Linked DNA regions of Kluyveromyces lactis. The protein of the gene in region 1 interacts with the protein of each later gene in a pairwise test. Links are inferred from orthologs where the notes say so. Each region holds a gene or a part of one and is shown in the gene's direction. Other genes may lie near its edges. The genes, in order: SEC22, SGT2, MDY2, VAM3, SEC20 and GET3.

Region 1 (3,068 bases):
AGAGAAAGGCCCATATAAGATTGATTATTTCTCATCGTGGGAATCGTTGAACTTTTTACAGTTGTTAATAATCGCATGTCAAACTCAAGAAACTATTCTTTTCCAGAATCTAAAATCACAATACTCAACTCTTGCCAACAAATACAACTCTGAGCTACAATTCTTGGGCCAAGAATACTTCGGTATCAAGGTCGAGAAACCAATCAACTTCTTGCAAGATATGATGTCTGGTTTCTTTGGAGGTAAATAATAATAGTCTTCGGTATAAACATACTCTATGTTATATATAATGCTAACTTTTCTTGATGCTACTTCTATTCAGAGCCTCAATGAGCTCTGGCCTCTTGGCACGGGTCAAGTTTTCTTTGGCCTGTTCGTAGGAGAACCATTGACGGTTTCTTGTCTTCACTTCAGGATAATTGTCCTCCAATTTAACATTAATCATCTCGAAGAAATGGAATTCGGACCTGGGAGGCCATTTGTTAACAGTTTCGTCATTCGAACTCTCGAATGCTTCCAAATCTGGGTTCCAGTCCTTTGGAGGTCTCATATCCTCAATGGAACCAAGTGCTTTCACTATATCGCCTGTGGCACCAGCTTCTTCCCAGGTCTCTCTTCTTGCAGCGGACTCAAAGTCAGGTTCATCACTTTCAATACCACCCTTTGGCAACACCCATCTCTTCTTATGAGCGGATGACTGGACCATTAAGACATTCTCTCGGCTTTCATCCAGTATTATACATCCTGCAACGAGTCTAGCACCAGTGACACTTGAATACAACTGATTCTCACGTCCTACTCTTGAGGTGTCGGTCTTGATAAAGTCTGACATCTTCGGTTCCTTAATACTATATATATAGACTGTTTCTCAGACCGATTTCATCAACAGGGTACACAAGACACATAGCTGTGACTTACCAGCTGTGGTCAGTTTGAAGGATACATGAACGTGCGGCCACGTATGAAATACACGTTGATCGGTGGTTCAATTGTGAATCTGACAGAGACTCTTGTTTCAGGGTAATTATTAAATAATACGTGTTAGGACCGAATCATTAAGCGCAACACCACAGAAGAAACAGCTGGGAAACCGTCTCTGGCAGATACGTTCTTCCATTCTCGTAGCCCTCATATGGTTAGGGCACCATGCTAGTCAGTATGGGGTTCATACTCCCACTTTTTAGCCTTGTATTTGTCCACGTTATTCGATTTAAACTCGTCTTTTCAACATGGAATGAAATCAATCGAATCAAAACCAAGTTTCCATCACTAATGAATGAAACTTCAGCAAATTAGAAAACGTATTGCCCTGTACCAAGCACTGAACGATCTTTCAGTTTTAGCAAGTGATTTACAAGGCAATAGGCACGGGCATGATTCGTTCTACGTTGATTTTCAGAGAAGATGGGTTACCATTGTGTGCCTCAGTGGATGATGACACTGATCCCAGTTTACAAGAGCAAAAGAAGAAGGTGAAGATCCTAATATCAAGATTCACTCCGACGTCAGCAAACGAGGCTACAGTGGAAAGTGGTGATTTCGAGATCCATTATATCAGATTGAACACCGTGGTCTATATTGTGGTCGCAGAAAGGAACTATCCACGTAATTTGGCATTCTCATACTTGGCAGATATACAACAAGAATTCGAACACAGTTACGGGGGACAACTCTCGAAATCGAACGTTAGACCGTATGAGTTCGTATCCTTCGACAACTTCTTACAAAAGACCAAGAAAGTTTACAACGACAAAAGAGTACAGGGGAACATGGACCAATTGAATCAGGATCTAAAAGGTGTCAAACAAATCATGACAAAAAACATCGAAGATCTATTGTACAGAGGTGATTCCTTGGATAAGATGAGTGATATGAGTGCGTCCCTAAGACAAGACGCTAAAAAGTACAGAGCCTCCGCACAAAAGATCAACTTCGACCTATTGATTAGCCAGTACGCGCCAATTGCGATCATAGCATTCTTTTTCGTATTCTTATTGTGGTGGATGTTCTTAAGATGAAGTATTCGCTGTACAGAAGTATCGATACACTTATGTACACTTAAATATGTATATAATTCCACCCTGTATAAACTTCAGCAAAAAAATGTACAAATATTGGCTCAGTATTGCTCTGAATGTGCCCTGACTAACGTATGTCTCATCATCATCAATACGCCTTTTTGCACTTGAACGATTCTTTTCTCAACATGAAAAACCTTTAAAAAGCAGATGATCTTCCTTAAGGGAAGAGGGAAATATCATGTAAGAAAGTAAAGTAAAATAGAGTTTACAAGTCGGTATACAACACGATAGATACATTGAGGTTATTGTAGTACTCGTGAATAGACAATATGGGAGACAATGATGCAGATGCCGTTGATTTCAGAGCTTTGATCGATGAGTTTCGATTTAGCAGGGTCTTGAACTCTAATCCGCAAACCAAGCAAATTTCATTATTAGGTACGATTAAGGGTCAGGATGCTATCGTGACTCTAGAGAAGACACACTTCCAGTTTGATAAAGTGGTGAACAATCCCAATTCGTCTACGTTGTCGTTGCACCAATGTGAATCTGAATATTCTTGTATGAATTCCATTCAGACGTTGAAACCAATAGCAAATAACGACATTTATTTCTGGGGGATGTCTGTGATGAAGCAGGACTTGGAGTTAAACCCCACGGCAAAGATCAACTTGATATGGCCTGCCACACAGGTTCATATCGAGAAGTACGATAAGCAGTTGTGCCATATGGTGAGGGAAACCCCAGAGATATATAAGCGTATCGTGAAGCCTTATGTGGATGATATGGTCAATAACGGTAGGTTGCAATGGGTTCAGAACATCTTGTATAACGGAGCAGAGAGTGACAGGGTCGTGTTCAAGTACTTCGACCAAGAGAGCCCCAAAGACGGCTTTGTGGTGCTCCCTGATATGAAATGGGATGGTGTCAATATGGATGCCCTTTATTTGGTTGCTATTGTACATAGGGACGATATTAAATCGTTAAGAGACTTGAGACCCGAACATCAACAATGGTTGATCGATATGAAGAATAAGATAAGATCTG
Region 2 (3,604 bases), on another chromosome or scaffold:
GATTTTTCCATTTGCCAGGGGTATCTTTGAAGATAAAGTTGCGAATTTTTGGTGCGTTTCTAATATTTTCATCAAATATAGAAATCTATTCACTCAGAAGGATCTTCAATTATACTCATTACTCGCAACAGTTATTGGGCTTTTACCATCATTCATTATAACATTTTTATACCCGAAGAGACATTTACTACCATATGCTTTGGCCGCATGTTCGATGTCATTCTTCTTATTCAGCTTCCAGGTTCATGAAAAGACAATCTTATTACCTTTACTTCCTATTACACTCTTGTACACGTCAAGAGATTGGAATGTTCTATCATTGGTTTGTTGGATTAACAACGTGGCATTGTTTACACTCTGGCCATTACTGAAAAAGGACAATCTAGTATTGCAATATGGAGTCATGTTCATGTTTAGCAATTGGTTGATCGGTAACTTCAGTTTCGTCACACCACGCTTCCTCCCAAAATTTTTGACACCAGGGCCATCCATCAGTGATATAGATGTTGATTATAGACGGGCAAGTTTACTACCCAAGAGCCTAATATGGAGATTAATCATTGTTGGCTCATATATTGCAATGGGGATTATTCATTTTCTAGACTATTACGTCTCCCCGCCATCAAAATACCCTGATTTATGGGTGCTTGCCAATTGTTCCTTGGGCTTCTCATGTTTTGTGACATTTTGGATATGGAACAATTATAAATTATTCGAAATGAGAAACAGCACTTTGCAAGATTTATAGATGTTAAAATTTATAATAGCAGTAATGATACGGGGCGTACCTTGCAAGAGCAAAACCGGGATATATATTTCACTCCTCTGTTTAATCATTTAGGATTCTACTTACACTTTAATTAGTATTCATATATCGAATGTCAGTTTCGATCAAAAATAAACAAAGACAAAAAGCACCAGTATAAGACTCGTAAATGAGAAAAACAATTCTTCGTAATGAAATTCAATATAGTAAAACTCTCCATGCTGGATGCACCGTATTTGTGTAACGGCATACTCACTAAATAGGTAAAGTCTGAATATTACTTTAAAAGTATCATATGATCTGTTGTAGCTGTTATATAGAACGAAAAGTAGTAACCGTCACGAAATCTTATTCCTCGTGGCCCAATGGTCACGGCGTCTGGCTACGATGTTAGCTACTTCTGAAACCAGAAGATTCCAGGTTCGAGTCCTGGCGGGGAAGATTTTGTTTTTGATTAACTTTTTCCTTCTTTCAAGGAGCCAGCAACTCTTTGAACTTCCTTTCCATGGTTGATGGTTCCAAACTATTAGTAGCTTCTATCAAATATCACTACTTCTCAATTAAGACGGCACGAGTCAGCTTAAAAATGCTAACGATGTGAAATTGACGTGTCTCTGTGAATCTTTCGTCTTCTGTTGCCTTCTCTAACCGAAGGTTTTTCCGTACTTATCATTTTTTCGCCATTCACATTCAGGAAAAAGTTTATTATAATAGTGCTTAAATGACAAGTTGCCTGGATTTTATGTACTTTCAAAGAAGAGTTATCATTGACTCGTCCTTTGTTACTGCTTCATCTTATCGTATACAGCGGTTTGTGATCCTTATTTCATCTTAAAGCACTGTCAAAAGTTTAGAAAATCCGAATGTCCCTATCTAATAAGGAAATTGCTGCTTTGATTGTTGACTTTTTGTCATCATCGTCTTCTTCAGTAAACGAAGACTATGTTGATTCGTTGAATGTTGCCATCGACTGTATCACTGAGGCCTTCCAATTTGAAAGAGATGAGACTGATTCTTTAATCTCTGGTCCTTTTAATGGCAAGAAATTACCTGAACTATTAGCCTCAGCTCCCTCTTCTGGAGGCGTTTCTGGTGAACCAGTGAAGGTTCATATTCCAGTTGAAGATGCAGCAGCTAAGGCCAAGGCTGAAGAATTAAAGCTACAGGGTAACAAGGCCATGGCTGCTAAGAAATTTGATGAGGCTATTGAAAAATACACTGCTGCTATCGAAGTTTCTCCATCTAACGCTGTTTACTACTCGAACAGGGCTGCAGCTTATTCTTCTTTGAAGCAGTACGAACAGGCCGTTAAGGACGCCGAGCAAGCTATTGAAGTTGATCCTACATATTCTAAGGGTTTTTCTAGACTTGGATTTGCGAAGTATGCTTTGAATAAGCCTGAAGAAGCTTTAGATGCTTACAAGAAGGTCCTAGATATCGAAGGGGAAAAAGCTACTGACGTTATGAAAAGAGATTACGAAACTGCCAAGAAGAAGGTAGAAACCTCAATGAACTTAGAGAAGAGCTCTACCAGCGCTTCTTCTGAAGATGTTTCTGACAAATCTGCGACTGAAGGTCCTGGTGCAGGCGCTGGTGGCTTACCAGATCTTTCAAGCTTGTTAGGTGGTGGCGGTCTAGGCGGTGGTTTAGGAGCACTGCTAAACAACCCTCAAGTTATGCAAGCCGCTGAAAAGATGATGCAAAATCCAGGTCTAATGCAGGATATGATGTCCAATCCAGCAATGAAGCAAATGGCCAACCAATTCTCATCTGGTGGCGGCATGCCAGATTTGAGTCAAATGATGAATGACCCATCTATTAGAGACATGGCCAAAAACATGTTTGGTGGCGGCAACGGCAGCCAGCAATAACCAGTATACCCAAACTTTTGCTTGTCCTTTTTGACTGTATATATTTGATCTATATATGACTAGTTAAACATGCCCTTTCATGGTATCAATCAATTGTTGCATGATTTGTTTATTTTCCCTGATTCTTTGATCAACTATGGATTTAACGATATGATCGTGGTAAAACTGCTCTTTGAATTCGATGAATAGATTTATCCCCACTGCGATCGATTCATGTGTTGTTTTGATTTCACCGCCAATTTTCTTAAGGTTCAAAGAGCTCATTTTCAGTTGATTGGATAACTTATTCCTAAATTTAGACCTTTTACCTTCAATGTAGGTATCTATAAAATTTCTGTTTGCTGAAGAAGGAGGCGCCTTGTCATTTGGGAAATTTTTCTTCCACTCTTTCTTCAGTTCCATTAATTCACCAAAATGTTTCCACCATAAAGTTGTCTTTGCGAGAAGAGACTCAAAGTTATTAAGTAAAGTGACAACAGAGTGCTCTAGATATTCCAAGTTTCGAGTAAACTCATAATATGAAAGATCATAAGACCAAGCGCAGTTTGTATTTTCAAAACTTTTTGCTACACCTTTTTGCGACATTTGGTTCCCCAAAGATAGGAAAGAGTTTCGCATCGTTATGACATCTCTGTGTTTGATTTGTTGTACTATCGCAAGTTTCTTCAAAATAATCAAACAATTTCTCAGCTTCTGAAACTCAGCTAGGTTGTATTTCAAGAAAGTTTGAATGCCGTTTATCTCCTCCGGTTCTAACTTTATGAACCGTTCCGACTCAGATAAGTAGGGTGTAGGAACGTCTAATAACACTTTCAGTTCTTCTTCATCTTTACCTAACCATAACTTACCACGGGTATTGACATAACTAAAGAGCATATCAAGCTTTTTGAATGTATGATAACTTTGCAATCTCAGGACGCCGGGAACCCCATATATTCCTAAAAGTCTCAGCTCGTTAGTAAGAAGT
Region 3 (3,046 bases), on another chromosome or scaffold:
CGAGGAGAAAAAGTTCAACTGCGGTTCATCTTGTCCAGAATCATTGCGACTCTGTTCTTCTGTCATTTCGGCGCCCTTATTGGCCCTCTTGTAGTAGTTCTTAATGACATAACTAGTAATCGGGTCATCTTTAATATCAGTCACGCTGGGCGTGTTCATGACATTCGGCATTCTAAAATATAAGTAATATCCCGCTCAGCAGGTTTGTGTGTATGCAACAGAGCAAAGCGTATGTAAGCTTATTATCTGATGCTATGCTTCGTGCCCTTTATAGGTTGATTAGACCACATCAACAGAATCCTTTCAAGCAAATCAGTCATGTGGTGGTTATTAAAGTGTCATTCTTTGCTTTGTTTCCTTTGCATGTTTCCTTAAAGGTTTCAACGCCGTCAACAGTGATTGGGCATCGGTGTTACAACATCAAGCTGGTTAAAGAAGGACGATAAGGGTGTCACAATGGGTTAGTAAGGGTTCATTTATGGCTGTGCATGGTTTAATCCATGCTGGGCTATCTATACATACCGATAGATATGAGCTTTCTCGGGGCGGAATGATCTTTATGCCCTTCAATCTGAACGATTCCGATCGATTGATTTCCGAGACATAGTCTTCAACTGATTGCAACGGGTTAACGAACAGGTATGGCTCGATGATACTCCATAAGTTCAGTGTCAAGAGGTCCAATATGACGTTGACAAAATTTCTTCTGGTTATTGGGTTGTATGCAGCCTCTAAGAGTGAATTGATTCGAGTTACAATTTCAGTCCATTCCGCTTGATCCAAATAGTTTGATAATGGGCTCACTGACGTTTCGCCATACCATTGGCCTTCAAACTCTCCTGCCGGAACGAACTCCTTGTTGTGAGTATCTGGTAAGGCTGCTGGTTCAGACCCAGGTAACTGTGTGCTGAAATTAGGAAATTCTGTGGATGACTCAAACCTTCTGGGAATTCGAACGACTCTAGTGGTTCTAAATTCATCGCTTTCTTCAGGTACGTATATGTTTGGAAAATGGGTGATGCAGATTGGATTCTCAGGTCCATGCTCTTCGCATGATTCCTCATCTAGTGCTCTGTACTTTGTAATCACAAATTCATGGTAATTGAAGAATTTCGGTTGTTGTGCAGAAGTTGATTCTTCAACGGTAATCGCAGCTTTAGATAGATCTGAACTGTCTGCAGTATCTGCCAGTACCAGTGATACCATTTGTGTTGCAATGTTACCTGGTAGAATGCCGTTTCTACCTCTTATTTCCCGTATTGATCTGATATCGTTCGTGTTTTTACCCTTTTATGTAGGAATTGAAATAAATTTAACGGAATTGATATTTATGTTCAGATTAACACTAACACAAGTTAGACATCTAATGAAGAGATGTATAAGGGAGTATAAGGAACTAAACTACTACAATATCGCACATCCCACCTCCAATCATGTCTGAACTTGATTTCGTTGGTAAATTTTTGAGTTTGGCCGCTTTGAATGAGCCAAAACTTGCATCGAACTACCGCAAACCATTACATGAAGTTACAAACCTTGGTGTTTCGTTGCCCCCATTGAGGTACAAATATGATCCAAGTAAATCACATTCTAAGAGTATCTCTAAAGTTGTAGAAGTTACCATCAAATCGATCAAAGCGCCTAAATTTGTTCATTCCAAAAGCTTCGAATCTACCGATACCGTGGGTCAGATCAAGGAATTCTTAGTGGAAACCGAGCCTGAGATATATACAACTGGTCAAATCAAGTTGTTGTTAAAGGGTAAAGTCCTCCACGACACTCAATTGGTCTCCGATTTGAACCAGGATAAAATATCCCTTGTCGCAATGGTTTCCAAAGCAGAGAAACCTGTGGAAACAGCACCTTTGCCGAAACCAGCGCAGGAACCTGAACCTGAACTTGAGTTGATGGATGTCGATATGGAGGATCCACAGTTGGATCTTTCATCTCAAACAGATATTGATTTGCCTTGGGATAAAATTAGAACCGTTTTAGAGAGTAGCTTGGATGCTAGCACGGCCTCAGTGGCCCTTGGAAGGCTACAGAAAGGTTGGGAGTTGAGTAAGTAAAAGATAGAACATGTCATTTGTTGGTCCATAATGCAAAACAACCCGGTTATATATGTAGTGATTTTATACTTTTAGATATTTCTGCTCTTTCTTCCATTGGTGATGAGAGAATTACCTCTTTCTGCTCAATCTACGTACTCTTTCTTTGATGTTATTATTCCAATTTACCCCATTTAAACCCTTCTTGAATCCGTATCCTTCGTTAGAAAAGGTTTCATTGATCAGTTCCTGTGCCAATTTGGAGTCTCTCTTATTATTGGAGTTGGTGGTTTCATTCTTCATTACATCTTGGAAGTTCTTGTATTTGGCTCTTTGAGAGATAACGTACTTCTTACATCGTTCGATTTCCTCTTGATTGAGTGCATTGAATCTCAATCTCCTCTTGAAGATGGCTTTGTCTATAATATCGTTGGGGTTTATCAACCGTCTAGGGTATGTTTGAATAGCTTGGAATAATTCCATGTCTTCATCGTCTGAGTTTCGGCTGCTAACGTGATTTAATTTTGGTAAATTGGTCTCGCTTAGTTCGATGATCGCTAACGACATCTTGAAAAGAATGTGTGAACCCTCATAGAAGAGACAATCCCATATACGTAAGGTAGCTTCAATAGGTACTACTCCTATGAAACAGCTCATGAACCAACTGGCAGTACAGAGTGTGACTGGTGGCAACTTATAGAGAAATTCGTTCTTATTGGATAGGCCGGGACTGTGTTGTTGATCTTTATTGGAATATATTCTTTGCCAAAAGTGTGGCAGATACTCTTTTATGCATAGTAAAAGCACACCTTGGTTAATATTGACACCTTCCAGGTTAATACTATGCACTCCTGGTAAGTACCTAGATGTCATTATTACTAGCATCCAAAATGCACGTTCTTCATCCATGAATAATAGTAAAAGACCAACTAAGAAATTCATCGATTGACAATAACCGATCTTAGCGTTATAGATGGCGAAAGCCTTTAAGATCCTCC
Region 4 (3,468 bases), on another chromosome or scaffold:
CTGAATAGACAATGATATACAGTTCAAGCTCGGAGATGATTTTTCATTCGTTGCTGAGATATGATTAGGTGAATCAATTTGAACCTCAATAGCACAATGCGAAGCGCCTTGAACTGCATCAAAATCGCCATCTGATATCTTAAGCCAGCAAGGGCCCATGATTTTCCTTTGGACAACAAAACTCTCAAAAAGGTTTTGGTTACCACCGAAGACGTGACTGAATGTATCTCCCTCAAGTTCAGCGGGAATAGTAATTGACTTGCATTTAGGAGTATCATAAGGTAACAAAACCTTCAAATACTCCGCTTCGTGTGGTATTCCTGGAAGTTCAAAGGCATACTTTTTCGTTTCAGGCTTAGCGCGAAGTGATTGTAAGCCATATTTATCCAATAATAGAGGTACAATTTCTTGGTGGACATCAGACGCTGTTTTACCCTCCTTAGGTAGAAAATACAGCTCTCTATTGAAACCATTGATTTGCGCCATTGCAGAGACTACTTGATTCTTTCTCGTTTTAACTTTACCAAAGAGAATCAAAGAAGAGTTGACTTCGGTAAAATCAGTCCAAAAAAAGTTAAAACTACCGGTCTCAGCGTCTACTACATCCTCTTTAGGTATTCTTTGTCTCAGTGATCCGGAAATTGATTCTGTTGCTTGTGTGGACCCTGTAGAAGTTGACAATGGGGTGTTAGGAGCAGTGACATATGTTGGCGAAGACGTTAATGGTGCTGTTTGAGCGCTGATATTCATCTGCCTTTGAGTAGCTATTGATTTGAATTTTTTTCTACCAAAGTGAATATCATCTTCGTCATCTTCACTGTCATCTTCGCTTTGATATGTCTTCTGCTTGCTCATTGAAGGAGAACTAGCCACATCGTTTAATAATGATTCAATATCGTGGTCCTCTTCCATTGAATCACAATCGATAGGATTAACGCTATCAGCTTTAAAAGGTACAACATCTTTACCTTTAAGTGGGGATGTATCTACCTGAGGGTGTTTATAGTTCATAGGCGTAGTATTTGCAGGTTGTTTTCTGGATATCGTTAGCTTCGGCTTCTTAACCAGAGGCTCTGCGTCAAATTCACTCAAAATATCATCAAATTCAGCAAGTGACACTTTCTTAGGTTTTTCTGTTGGCATTGTCATTTTTCTCTTGACATTTTGTTGCTTTATGATATCGCTGATGGTATCCTTACCTTTGTTATTCTTACTGGTCTTATTACGCTTTTTGCCTGACTTTGCATCAACACCATCGTCTTCATCAGAGTAGAACTCCTGACTTTGATCCCATTCATCTACACCACGATCCACATATCCACTGCCATCATCATCTTCAACAAAATCATCTCTTAACAACTCTTGTCTTTTCTTACTCCTATATTGATCCTCGTCAATCAAGTCATACACATTTTCTTCTTCCAGTTGTTCATCTAGCACATCCCTATTCGATTTATTATTCCTAGCTTTCTGCAATTTTTTGAGCAGTTCAAGTTTGTTCGCATTACTCATCCCGAGCTAGTGTTTTAATAGTGTAGGGTGGCAGTACGAACTACCCTAGTAATTTAGTTTTGTTGTCTTTCCTGGTTTGAGTTGCAAGAAGAAGATGATGAAGATGTTCTTACTTTTACGCGTTCTTTTTTTTTTTAAAGTTGTATCTATCTGCAAAGCACGCGTTCGAAATCTATGAACTTAATGGCACCAACGCTGAGACAAAGCGAGAGTGCATGAGAAGAAAAGCGAGCGAAAGATTGAGTGACAGTAGAATACCGACAACACTTGAGTGGTTAAACGGTGAAGCCGCTGAAGTGTTAGAGAGTGTGCGCTCCTCAATATTATGATACGAATTTCCATTAGTTGAACCAATTGGCGTTGGCTTGGAAAGAAAAATGGATCACATGACCTGTGGTTTAAGACTGTCCTCAATTTTAAAGTGCTCAAATTGAGGTTTGTGATCATTAACTGAAGGGAAGGATAACTGTTAAGGAAACAGCTGATAGCAGGACCCGTAAAGATAATCGCGTTACATCTGATGTCCTTTTATCAAAATAGTACTCCAAAAAAGGAGGACAATCGTGCAGATTCTAGTGGAAACGATGCGGTGCCTTTGTTGATAACACTAGAACAGAATATTCAATTACTCAAGCGTAAAGCTCATCTAATAGGGACAAGCAAGGACGGACAACTATTGAGGGTTGATATAAAAAATAGAGTAATCCCCGAAATCCAGAAAATTAGTCGAAAACTGGCTGACTTAACTTCGCTAGATACACAAGATAAATTTGCTCGAGATTTTCAAGCGTTAAGCAAACAATATAACAGTGTAAAGACCGATTATGAGAATAGGGCAGTACAGAATCCCATACCTGACGAAGAGAGTAAAGATAATGAATCGGAACATCTCGTATCGCAATATGAAAGCATGCCAATACAAGACGATATCGAGAGGAGGGATCATTCTTCAGAGGATACTCCGTTACTTTTGTCTACCCAACAGCAAGAGCCTTTGTTGAATCAGGATGAGTTAGATTTTCACACGATAATTCAACATGAAAGATCCCAGGACATATCAAAAATCCACTCTGCTGTGCAAGAGGTCAATGCCATCTTCAAACAACTAGGAAGTCTGGTACAGGAACAGGGCGAACAAGTTGACACAATTGGCGAAAATGTGACAGGATTATCTAATAATTTGCAAAAGGCGAACAAAGAACTTCACAAAGCAAATGAATATCAAAGGAAAAAGAACAGATGTGGTACAATACTTCTAGTAGCTATTGTTGTTATCACTCTAATAACTCTTATCGCGATTCTATCATAGGGTTAGATTCTACGAGGAATGTAACTATATATTAATACAAAATTTATCTCTGGCCTTATACTTGGATGAAAGTTACGTTACGTTTTAGAGAACACGCATCATCAGGTAAATATGTCCGACTTAGAGGTTACAACTAATTATTAATCATAGCTTACTTGTCAGTATCCTTTTTAGTGCTTTCGGAGGAGTTATTTTTGGATAGTTCATAAGACTCAACATTCTTGAGATCTCCACGTTCAATGACAAGATTTTTGAGAAGTCTGTTTTCCATTTCAAGGGTATTGATTCTTTGCTTCAAGTCACAAGCTAACTGTGAAAGATCTTGGACCCAAGTTTCCATTTCTTTCTCTTTAAGTTTTTTAGTTTGATCCAAGTTCGGCAGTTTGGGTCTTGAAGAAAGGGTTGAGGAAGTGGACGACGATTCTACACCATCACTGGAGGAATTGTTTTTATCAGAATCAGTATTATGCTTTTTTTCGTTTATCTTCTCATCGAGACTCTTAGCAGCATTTTCCTTGTCATTGAGAAGTTCTTCCGATTGTCTCACCTCTTCCTTCAATTTAGCAGACGTTACATCCTTCCTAAGAGAGGAAGCTGATTCTAGTTTCCTGACAACTGATTTTGGTGTTTTACTGATACCATCATCC
Region 5 (3,817 bases), on another chromosome or scaffold:
GCTAAAGTTTCTGAATAGCCCTACGATATGATAGTCGGGTCTGATCAACTGGTTCAAGATGACAGTTAGAATGGGTAAGAAAACTGAAATCAGAAGGGCTCCGACCGGTCCAGAAAACTCATAATGAGTGGTCTTAGGATTTAAAGCTGTCATTGTTGCTAAGGACATTGGGTATTCAGCGCATTATAATAATAATATATACTAAATGCAAAAGTGATTTAGCCTTCTTTCTCTTAATTCTGTACTTTTCGCTACTTTATACTATTCTTTTTTTTAAGGTTCATGCTTGAATACGAAAATTGCTAAACGACGAACACATGCAAGGGTTCTATTTGAGAATGTAAACCGCTTACTTAACACGCACCATTGGGCAATCCTCTAATCCGGTTTTTTTCTATTGCTAACCTCCATTAGAAGTAAGGTATGTCATCACTGAAATGATAAGCGAGGTCTCCCTTGGCAGTGTCGGAACAGTAAACGAGCTATTACAGGTTCATCCACTAAAAATGTTATATTTTCTGGATACTCGGCATGTCATTAACCTAAAAAAACCACAAACAGGTTTCAAGAACGCTCATATTGCAGAATAGCATATATTTTGTCACAAATAATGTAATATTATCGTCATTCTGATAGCTATGGCTAGGGATCTGTAAAAGGTCCCAGCTATGGGCGATACCGTTACATAGAAGTATAAGTCCATGCTCTGCATTTATCCAAATTCCGTAAGTTAGTTTGGCATTCACCTCATCTTTTGAAGCATAATTTAAGCAAGTTAAATGGTCCAATTTTTCAGTGAAATTATCAATCGGATCACAGCTCATGATGAAGGTGTACTCCTTATGATATCTTTGTAAAGACCTCAAAAGCTCCACTCTTGTCAGCCGCTTGGCATTTGACCAAGCAGAATATTTGAATGTAATATCATAGAATAAGTCCCGAATGTATGCCCTTGTCAATAGCCCAAGATTTTGCTGAAGATAAATCTGGGCATATTTAGGATGTCTTGGTTTTTGAGCTTCGAAATTTTCCATGATTTTAATGAACTGTTGCCGATACTCTTCACATAATCTGTTCATTTGAAAATGGTCGTAATTGGTCTTTTGTAACAGGCGAGGAAATATTGAGCACTCATAGGAGTAGTGATCCGGCCAATGAGATTCACTTGACACCAACGTTGCATCCATTGAAATATTTTCATCAGCATAAGAAAATGGTCGTATATTCAAATAATGCTGATAAAGTCGATTCTGGCGTGGTTCGAATACTTGAAATGGTTCTTTTTGATGTTCCGATCGTTGAGTTAAGGTTATATTTGGACAATTTAACAACCAAACTAGTAGACTATAATTTCTTGACTCCCTAGCAAGCCTAGTTCTCAAAGTTTTGATAAATGAGCTCGGCGGCAATATCCTTTCTGGATCAAAATTGTCCGCAATCAGATGGGATCCTTTAAATAAAGACAAATTAACATAACAAACTGTCTCCTCATTGTTACTACAGTCATAAAACTCGTCTAATTCGCTCATTTCGAATTGGTTTGGGTTTTTAAGATAGATTTCTTTATATTTTACTGATTGTTGAAATGAAGATGATAAATACTTACTGACATTTTTTCTATTTTTTTGTCTTTGACCTGAATTTTAAACTGCTAAATTCCCATATAAAGATTGAATGATGAAAAAAGCTCAACTGTAAACCTTAATTAAAGATACTTTTATAGTATTGCATTTCTACCTACATCAAGTTAAAGGTGTCATTGGAATGCGTGTTTTAAAATCAACTAACTCGCTTTAGGGTCGGTATTACAAGTGCTCCATAAATCAAGGCTAGCGCCATTGTCACGTATCCGGGTAACCAAACATATCCTTCAGTCTAAAAAAGATCAATACTTGATATTTACCAATAACAATTTCAACAATAGCAGTAACGGCAGCAGCAACAGAAAAGTTGTCGTAAAGGTTTTGAACCTGAAAAGCATCCGACATCTTTATGGTATAATCACATAGAAAATAAGAAGATAAGCAATGATGTTAGTATCTGGAGAATCATTAGAAGCTAAAAGAAATCTCTTGCACTCTTTGTTTTATGAGAGTTTATTCAGGGAAGAACAAAGTTCTAACACCAATGAAGACCTTGATGATAAGGTTGTGAGTGAATTGCTTACGTTTGAAGATATGATCCGTAGCTTTCAGCGGATAATTGAACTGAAATATGGTGTGAGAATACGATACGAGCCAAAATTCACGATAGAGAGAGAACCGAGCGGAGTCGATAAGCATGATGAACAATGGATCGAACAAGTCAATGAACTAGTGAAAAATGTTGATTTTAGGAAAGAGCTAATAGAGAAATACGAGGTTTCTTTAATTGAATCACGTATGATGCTCAAGGAAACGTTGAGCGATGCGTTGCAAAGTAAACTCATGGAACGTAGAGGCAGTACAACTTCCATTGATTCTGATTTGAACAGGTCAGAGATAGATCGTGACGGAAGCACAAACGGCATACAGCTACCGAATACAGCCACTAATATCAAGGGTAAGACGTTACAAGTAAACAAGAAAATCACGTCTAATCTACTTCGTACGAACCAAATCTTACGTAGCAGCGTGTTACAGAGCGAATTGAATATCGATGAGTTGAAACAACAGACGGATACCTTAATGTTAGTGAATGATAAGTTTGACAGGTTCAAGGCAATGTCACAGGCTTCAACAAAACTCATTAAAGCCATTAACAACAGCAGCTATCAAGAGAAACAAAAAGTGTACGCCGCAATTGCATTTTTCTGTGGTTGTATAATGTGGGTTCTATGGAGAAGAATATTCAAATATCCAGTTAAATTTACCTTCTGGCTATGTTTCAAATTCTTCAAATCGCTACTATACACTGTAGGGATAGTGAAAAGTTCTGTGTCCCCAAATCAAGCTTCTTCCAGCTCCACAGTGGTTTCTGCAATTTCCTCAGTGACAGATACTATTTTAGACCAAGCTTCCTCCTCAACAAGTCTTCTGAAGGAGGTATTGTCACAAACAGAAACAGAACTCACATCATCTCTAGATGTATCTCAAGCAATCAGCGATAGTTTCGATAAGCTAATGGACGAGTTATGAAAGGAAAACAGTAATCTAGGGAAATAGTAAGAGCCCGTTGAAAATCCAGAAGCAATTAGAGTTCCAATCACGTGATTTGTTTAATTTCGAGCCATTACATGTGCTTGTGTATTTGTGTTTTGTTTTCACATGTCGTTCTGGAGAAGAAAATATTCCATACCGTACGAAGGTGTCTAAACAAAGGGAATACCTGAAAAATTTTCGCCGAACATGCACCGTGGTATCGCCGAAAAGGGAAATCATTCTGCACATTTTCTCGAAAAGCAACAAATAACTGAGGTAAAAATCTCGCCGAAACTAAAATAGGCTTTTCGCCGATAGCGCAATTCGGTAAAAAGGCTAAACTGCCTTCGTTAGGTTAAATGCATTTAAGTTTAGTTAATAGCAATTTCATTATCTAGATTTGACGTGGTTCGTATCTCCTTCTTGTCGTGGTAAGGAAAGGCGTACAAGGAACGAACTCTTCGAGACCGACGATGTAGTTTTTCCCCCTGCGAGTTGGATAAACATCAAACATGGATACCTTTCTCTTTTCAGTATCTATGTTTCGTCTTCCGCTATTTCCTCTACAGTCTTGTTTGTGCCTGAATTTTTCTTTGTTTTTCTCTGCAAGAAAAAACCATTTAAATATAGTGCGTTCATGACAATTTTCGATTTTCTTGTCCCTTCTGAGCATCTTTTCGGTATTCTGGGAGAGAAAA
Region 6 (3,717 bases), on another chromosome or scaffold:
CGATGATGCTATCGCCAAGAAAGTCGGTGGTGAAGTGCTATGCAGAATTAGGTGAATCATCAGTAAAATTCCCAGCAATAAAGACCATTAGTCATATAATCAAAAACAAAGTGCAGAATATTTCATCAACATGTGTGATGGACCATCGAAACTTCCAATATCATCAAAAGGAAATCCACCTCATATTCCATGTATATAGTAACATTCAATCAGTGCGATTTTCCTTTTAGCGACAATCATCAATCGTGTCAAATATCAGTTTTATACATACACTAATATAATTGTATACTTGTACATTATAGCATTATATTTGCCTAAACGAGACAAATGAGACAAATCATAAAAAAATCATAGCTCTGTGGTAATAGTAACAAGGCTGAAACTTACTTAAAATTCCACAACTGGGCCAACACCAACTGATCTCCAATTTGTCATATCGACATTCCAGTTCTTCCACTTAGCTAACATAACAGGGTCTGTCGTTGGATGCTGAATCTGTCTCGATGGCTCGAATTTGGATGGAGAATGTCTATCAAAGGAAGAGAATTCCACAGGGGTTAGTTGTGGTGATTGTGTTGCTCTAAGCTGCTCTACTTCTTGTCTAGACGTAGATAGCTCCTGCTGAGCGGACAGCAATTGTACAGTTTTATCATTGAGTTGAGATTTCATGATGTTTATCTGTTCTTCAAGCTCTTCTATGGAGCTTTCTTGATCTATGTTGACAAACTTCAATTGCTTTACTTGATCTTTTAGCTTTGAAACTTCTTCCTTGAGGTTTATTACTTCATCTTGGCTTTTCTGTTCTTGTATCGTCGAAAGGAAATCTTTCTCTTTATCATCATTCCCGCCAAACAATTCTTCAACTTCATCTGTACTTTTTGCCTCTATTGGTTCTTCCTCTTTTTGTTGAACTGCAAAAGCTTCTTTAGACACTTCCTCGGTTGGGTTGGGTATATCAGTTGCTTCCTTCTCGAGGACTTCCTCCTCGGAGTCTTTCTTGTTCTCCGCAGACTCTTTTTCAGACTTCTCCACAGACTCCTTTTCAAACTTCTCTTCGTTGTTGTCATTGCCCTTTGCATCAGCATTTATCTCAGCCTTTTCTTCAGCTTTTGTCTCTTCCACGATTGGTTGTTCATCTGAATGAACCGGACTCTCTGATACATTAGTATCAGTCGGTTCCAATTCAGTTTCAGTTTCAGTTTTGACTTCAGCTGCTTCAAGATCTTCCTTGTCCTTCTTCTTCTTATTCTTCTTGTTTTTATTCTTCTTCTTTAACTCTTCAACCCTTATCTTGGCTTCTTCGAGCTTTCTGGCTCTTTCTTCCTCGGGGGATAGTTCAGACATAATCAACTGTTCGAATGTGTGTACTCACTTGCATTGAAGACGCCAATTGGTTTTAATATTTAGCTCGCAATTGTTTCAGATTTGGCATTCACCATGTAAATTCTTATTTCATATGGGGCAACTTTTTTTTTTGATCTAAACGTGTCGTTATGGTTCACACATATTTAATAAGAAAGGAATCACCATCATTGAGGCAAACATCGATCAAATAATATCGTTTAATTTCACAATGTTTCAAAGCCATTTAGGTTCGAAAGAGAACAAGATTCAAGACTTTTTGAGAAGCAAACTCAAAGTATTTGTACCATGTTCTTTATTATTCGGTATGCGATTGGTAAATATCAAATTATTATCACCACCGTATATAGTGACGTGTTCTTTAAAAGAACGTAGAAGAAGTCTTCAGCAAGATATTTAGCATTTGTTGTCACTTTTAGTGGCGACATGCGTAGATAAACAGAAGTTTTACAACTAAGACGCCCTCTTATTTCAACTGTAGGAATAACAATCAGTAAGTGTGTAAACCTGAGACCAAGTAAAGCGGAAAAGTACAATGGATTTAACAGTTGAACCAGATCTAAACTCTTTGATAACTTCCTCAACACACAGATGGATATTTGTCGGTGGTAAGGGTGGTGTCGGTAAGACGACGTCATCTTGTTCGATTGCCATTCAAATGGCTTTGGCACAACCAGAGAAACAATATCTATTGATTTCTACAGATCCTGCACACAATTTAAGCGACGCCTTCGGTGAGAAGTTTGGTAAAGATGCAAGAAAAGTCACTGGGATGAACAACTTGTCATGTATGGAGATTGACCCTTCTGCCGCTTTGAAGGATATGAATGATATGGCTGTTGCCAATAATGCAACTGGATCGGGAGAGTTCAGTGATCTTTTGCAAGGTGGTGCACTATCTGAATTGACAGGATCGATTCCAGGTATTGATGAGGCACTTTCTTTCATGGAAGTGATGAAACACATCAAAAACCAAGAACAGGGTGAAGGTGACAGGTATGATACCGTTATTTTTGATACCGCACCAACAGGTCACACTCTAAGGTTTTTACAGTTACCAAGCACTCTATCTAAACTCTTGGAGAAATTCGGAGAAATCACTGCAAGATTGGGACCAATGTTGAATTCTTTGGCTGGTGCCAATAACGTCGATCTTGTTGGTAAAATGAGTGAATTGAAGTCTAATGTGGAAAAAATCAAGGAACAATTCACCAATCCTGATATGACAACTTTTGTCTGTGTTTGTATCAGTGAGTTCTTGTCTTTGTACGAAACTGAAAGATTGGTACAGGAATTGATCTCATACGATATGGACGTGAACTCCATCATTGTAAACCAGTTATTATTTGCTGAGTATGACGAAGGAGACAGCTGTAAAAGGTGCCAATCCAGATGGAAGATGCAAAAGAAGTATTTGGACCAAATTGATGAATTGTACGAAGATTTCCATATCGTTAAGATGCCATTGTGTGCAGGTGAAATTAGAGGTTTAAACAACTTGAAAAAATTCTCCCAATTCTTGAGAAAACCATACGATCCAGTTGCAGACAGCAAAGTGATTTATGAATTGGAACAACAAGACTGAAAGGAAGATAAATATGAATCATTGATACCTAGCATTACACGGCCAATCTATAATTTTTTATTATTTGTACACTAAATAATTGCAGAGCAGATTCTAAATTGAATCATTGCATCGAATTAGCCTCTATAATGTAGCATTAAACATCTACTTTAGTTGCAACATGAAAACATTATTACTTCAGGCTTCGTGATAGTAAACGAAAAGATCCGAAAGCTAAAAAAATTTTGGTAAATTGAAATGCTCCAGGGGAGGTTCGAACTCTCGACCTTCAGATTATGAGACTGACGCTCTTCCGACTGAGCTACTGAAGCAAATTTCTTGGAAAACTGAATTTTTAAAGAGTTTCATGCACTTGGGATTTGATGTACCATTGAGTCGCAGGGAATTAACTTCAAATCACTTATAAAACTCGCAACTCATTTATAACTTGAGGCATATAGAGTATGTCATATCTATTTAAGTCTCGTATTCATGATATCGGCCTCTCTTTGTGCTTTTAGTAACCATCGTTCAATCAAGGTGTCATATTCTGCTTGAATGTGTGTCAACCTTTCCTGTAAAAGATTGTTTTCTATGTTGATGCTGATCAATTCGTCATTCAAACGCTCAGCATCTCGATTTTTTACACTAATAACATCATGTAGTTGCCTTATTTCCTCTTCCTTTTCCGTAAGATGTTCCCTTAGATTCTTTATGCTGTTTTTAAGTCGTAGTTGGTCTTCGTTATCTTCCTCATTATCTCCAGACAGAAGTGAGACCGTTTCGAAAAG

The links.
Region 2: the proteins of SEC22 (region 1) and SGT2 interact in binary tests that used the Saccharomyces cerevisiae proteins (3 or more experiments, as listed by UniProt). The link is inferred for Kluyveromyces lactis from reciprocal best matches to the Saccharomyces cerevisiae genes SEC22 and SGT2.
Region 3: the proteins of SEC22 (region 1) and MDY2 interact in binary tests that used the Saccharomyces cerevisiae proteins (3 or more experiments, as listed by UniProt). The link is inferred for Kluyveromyces lactis from reciprocal best matches to the Saccharomyces cerevisiae genes SEC22 and MDY2.
Region 4: the proteins of SEC22 (region 1) and VAM3 interact in a two-hybrid assay, tested with the Saccharomyces cerevisiae proteins (2 studies listed by BioGRID). The link is inferred for Kluyveromyces lactis from reciprocal best matches to the Saccharomyces cerevisiae genes SEC22 and VAM3.
Region 5: the proteins of SEC22 (region 1) and SEC20 interact in binary tests that used the Saccharomyces cerevisiae proteins (3 or more experiments, as listed by UniProt). The link is inferred for Kluyveromyces lactis from reciprocal best matches to the Saccharomyces cerevisiae genes SEC22 and SEC20.
Region 6: the proteins of SEC22 (region 1) and GET3 interact in binary tests that used the Saccharomyces cerevisiae proteins (3 or more experiments, as listed by UniProt). The link is inferred for Kluyveromyces lactis from reciprocal best matches to the Saccharomyces cerevisiae genes SEC22 and GET3.

The regions. Positions count from the first base shown.
Region 1 is NC_006042.1:1,884,678-1,887,745, reverse strand, and holds SEC22 (SNAP receptor SEC22), read left to right. Parts: upstream 1-1,373; coding exon 1,374-2,018; downstream 2,019-3,068. Other genes in the region: protein GET4, read left to right, coding at 1-250; polyphosphatase DDP1, read right to left, coding at 293-832; KLLA0_F20229g (uncharacterized protein), read left to right, coding at 2,351-3,068. UniProt on the Saccharomyces cerevisiae protein: Nonessential SNARE involved in targeting and fusion of ER-derived transport vesicles with the Golgi complex as well as Golgi-derived retrograde transport vesicles with the ER.
Region 2 is NC_006040.1:103,880-107,483, reverse strand, and holds SGT2 (Sgt2p), read left to right. Parts: upstream 1-1,629; coding exon 1,630-2,637; downstream 2,638-3,604. Other genes in the region: ALG6 (dolichyl-P-Glc:Man(9)GlcNAc(2)-PP-dolichol alpha-1,3-glucosyltransferase), read left to right, coding at 1-748; KLLA0_D01133g (uncharacterized protein), read right to left, coding at 2,701-3,604. UniProt on the Saccharomyces cerevisiae protein: Co-chaperone that binds to the molecular chaperone Hsp70 (SSA1 and SSA2). Regulates Hsp70 ATPase activity. Required for recovery from heat shock.
Region 3 is NC_006037.1:674,192-677,237, reverse strand, and holds MDY2 (Mdy2p), read left to right. Parts: upstream 1-1,433; coding exon 1,434-2,069; downstream 2,070-3,046. Other genes in the region: TGL4 (triacylglycerol lipase), read right to left, coding at 1-171; SHR5 (Shr5p), read right to left, coding at 430-1,206; Rab GTPase-activating protein MSB3, read right to left, coding at 2,181-3,046. UniProt on the Saccharomyces cerevisiae protein: Required for efficient mating. Involved in the production of alpha-factor, the KAR9 and TUB1 location to the shmoo tip and nuclear migration into pheromone-induced shmoos.
Region 4 is NC_006039.1:1,128,373-1,131,840, reverse strand, and holds VAM3 (SNAP receptor VAM3), read left to right. Parts: upstream 1-2,032; coding exon 2,033-2,821; downstream 2,822-3,468. Other genes in the region: DNA-directed DNA polymerase alpha catalytic subunit POL1, read right to left, coding at 1-1,512; MET4 (Met4p), read right to left, coding at 2,973-3,468. UniProt on the Saccharomyces cerevisiae protein: Required for vacuolar assembly. Provides the t-SNARE function in a late step of the vacuolar assembly. Required for homotypic vacuole membrane fusion, autophagy and fusion of biosynthetic transport vesicles with the vacuole.
Region 5 is NC_006039.1:1,042,319-1,046,135, forward strand, and holds SEC20 (Sec20p), read left to right. Parts: upstream 1-2,027; coding exon 2,028-3,116; downstream 3,117-3,817. Other genes in the region: ERG24 (delta(14)-sterol reductase), read right to left, coding at 1-168; NDJ1 (Ndj1p), read right to left, coding at 543-1,529. UniProt on the Saccharomyces cerevisiae protein: SNARE required for targeting and fusion of Golgi-derived retrograde transport vesicles with the ER.
Region 6 is NC_006041.1:142,870-146,586, forward strand, and holds GET3 (guanine nucleotide exchange factor GET3), read left to right. Parts: upstream 1-1,897; coding exon 1,898-2,947; downstream 2,948-3,717. Other genes in the region: MRPS8 (mitochondrial 37S ribosomal protein uS8m), read left to right, coding at 1-55; BUG1 (Bug1p), read right to left, coding at 388-1,344; ATG16 (Atg16p), read right to left, coding at 3,400-3,717. UniProt on the Saccharomyces cerevisiae protein: ATPase required for the post-translational delivery of tail-anchored (TA) proteins to the endoplasmic reticulum. Recognizes and selectively binds the transmembrane domain of TA proteins in the cytosol.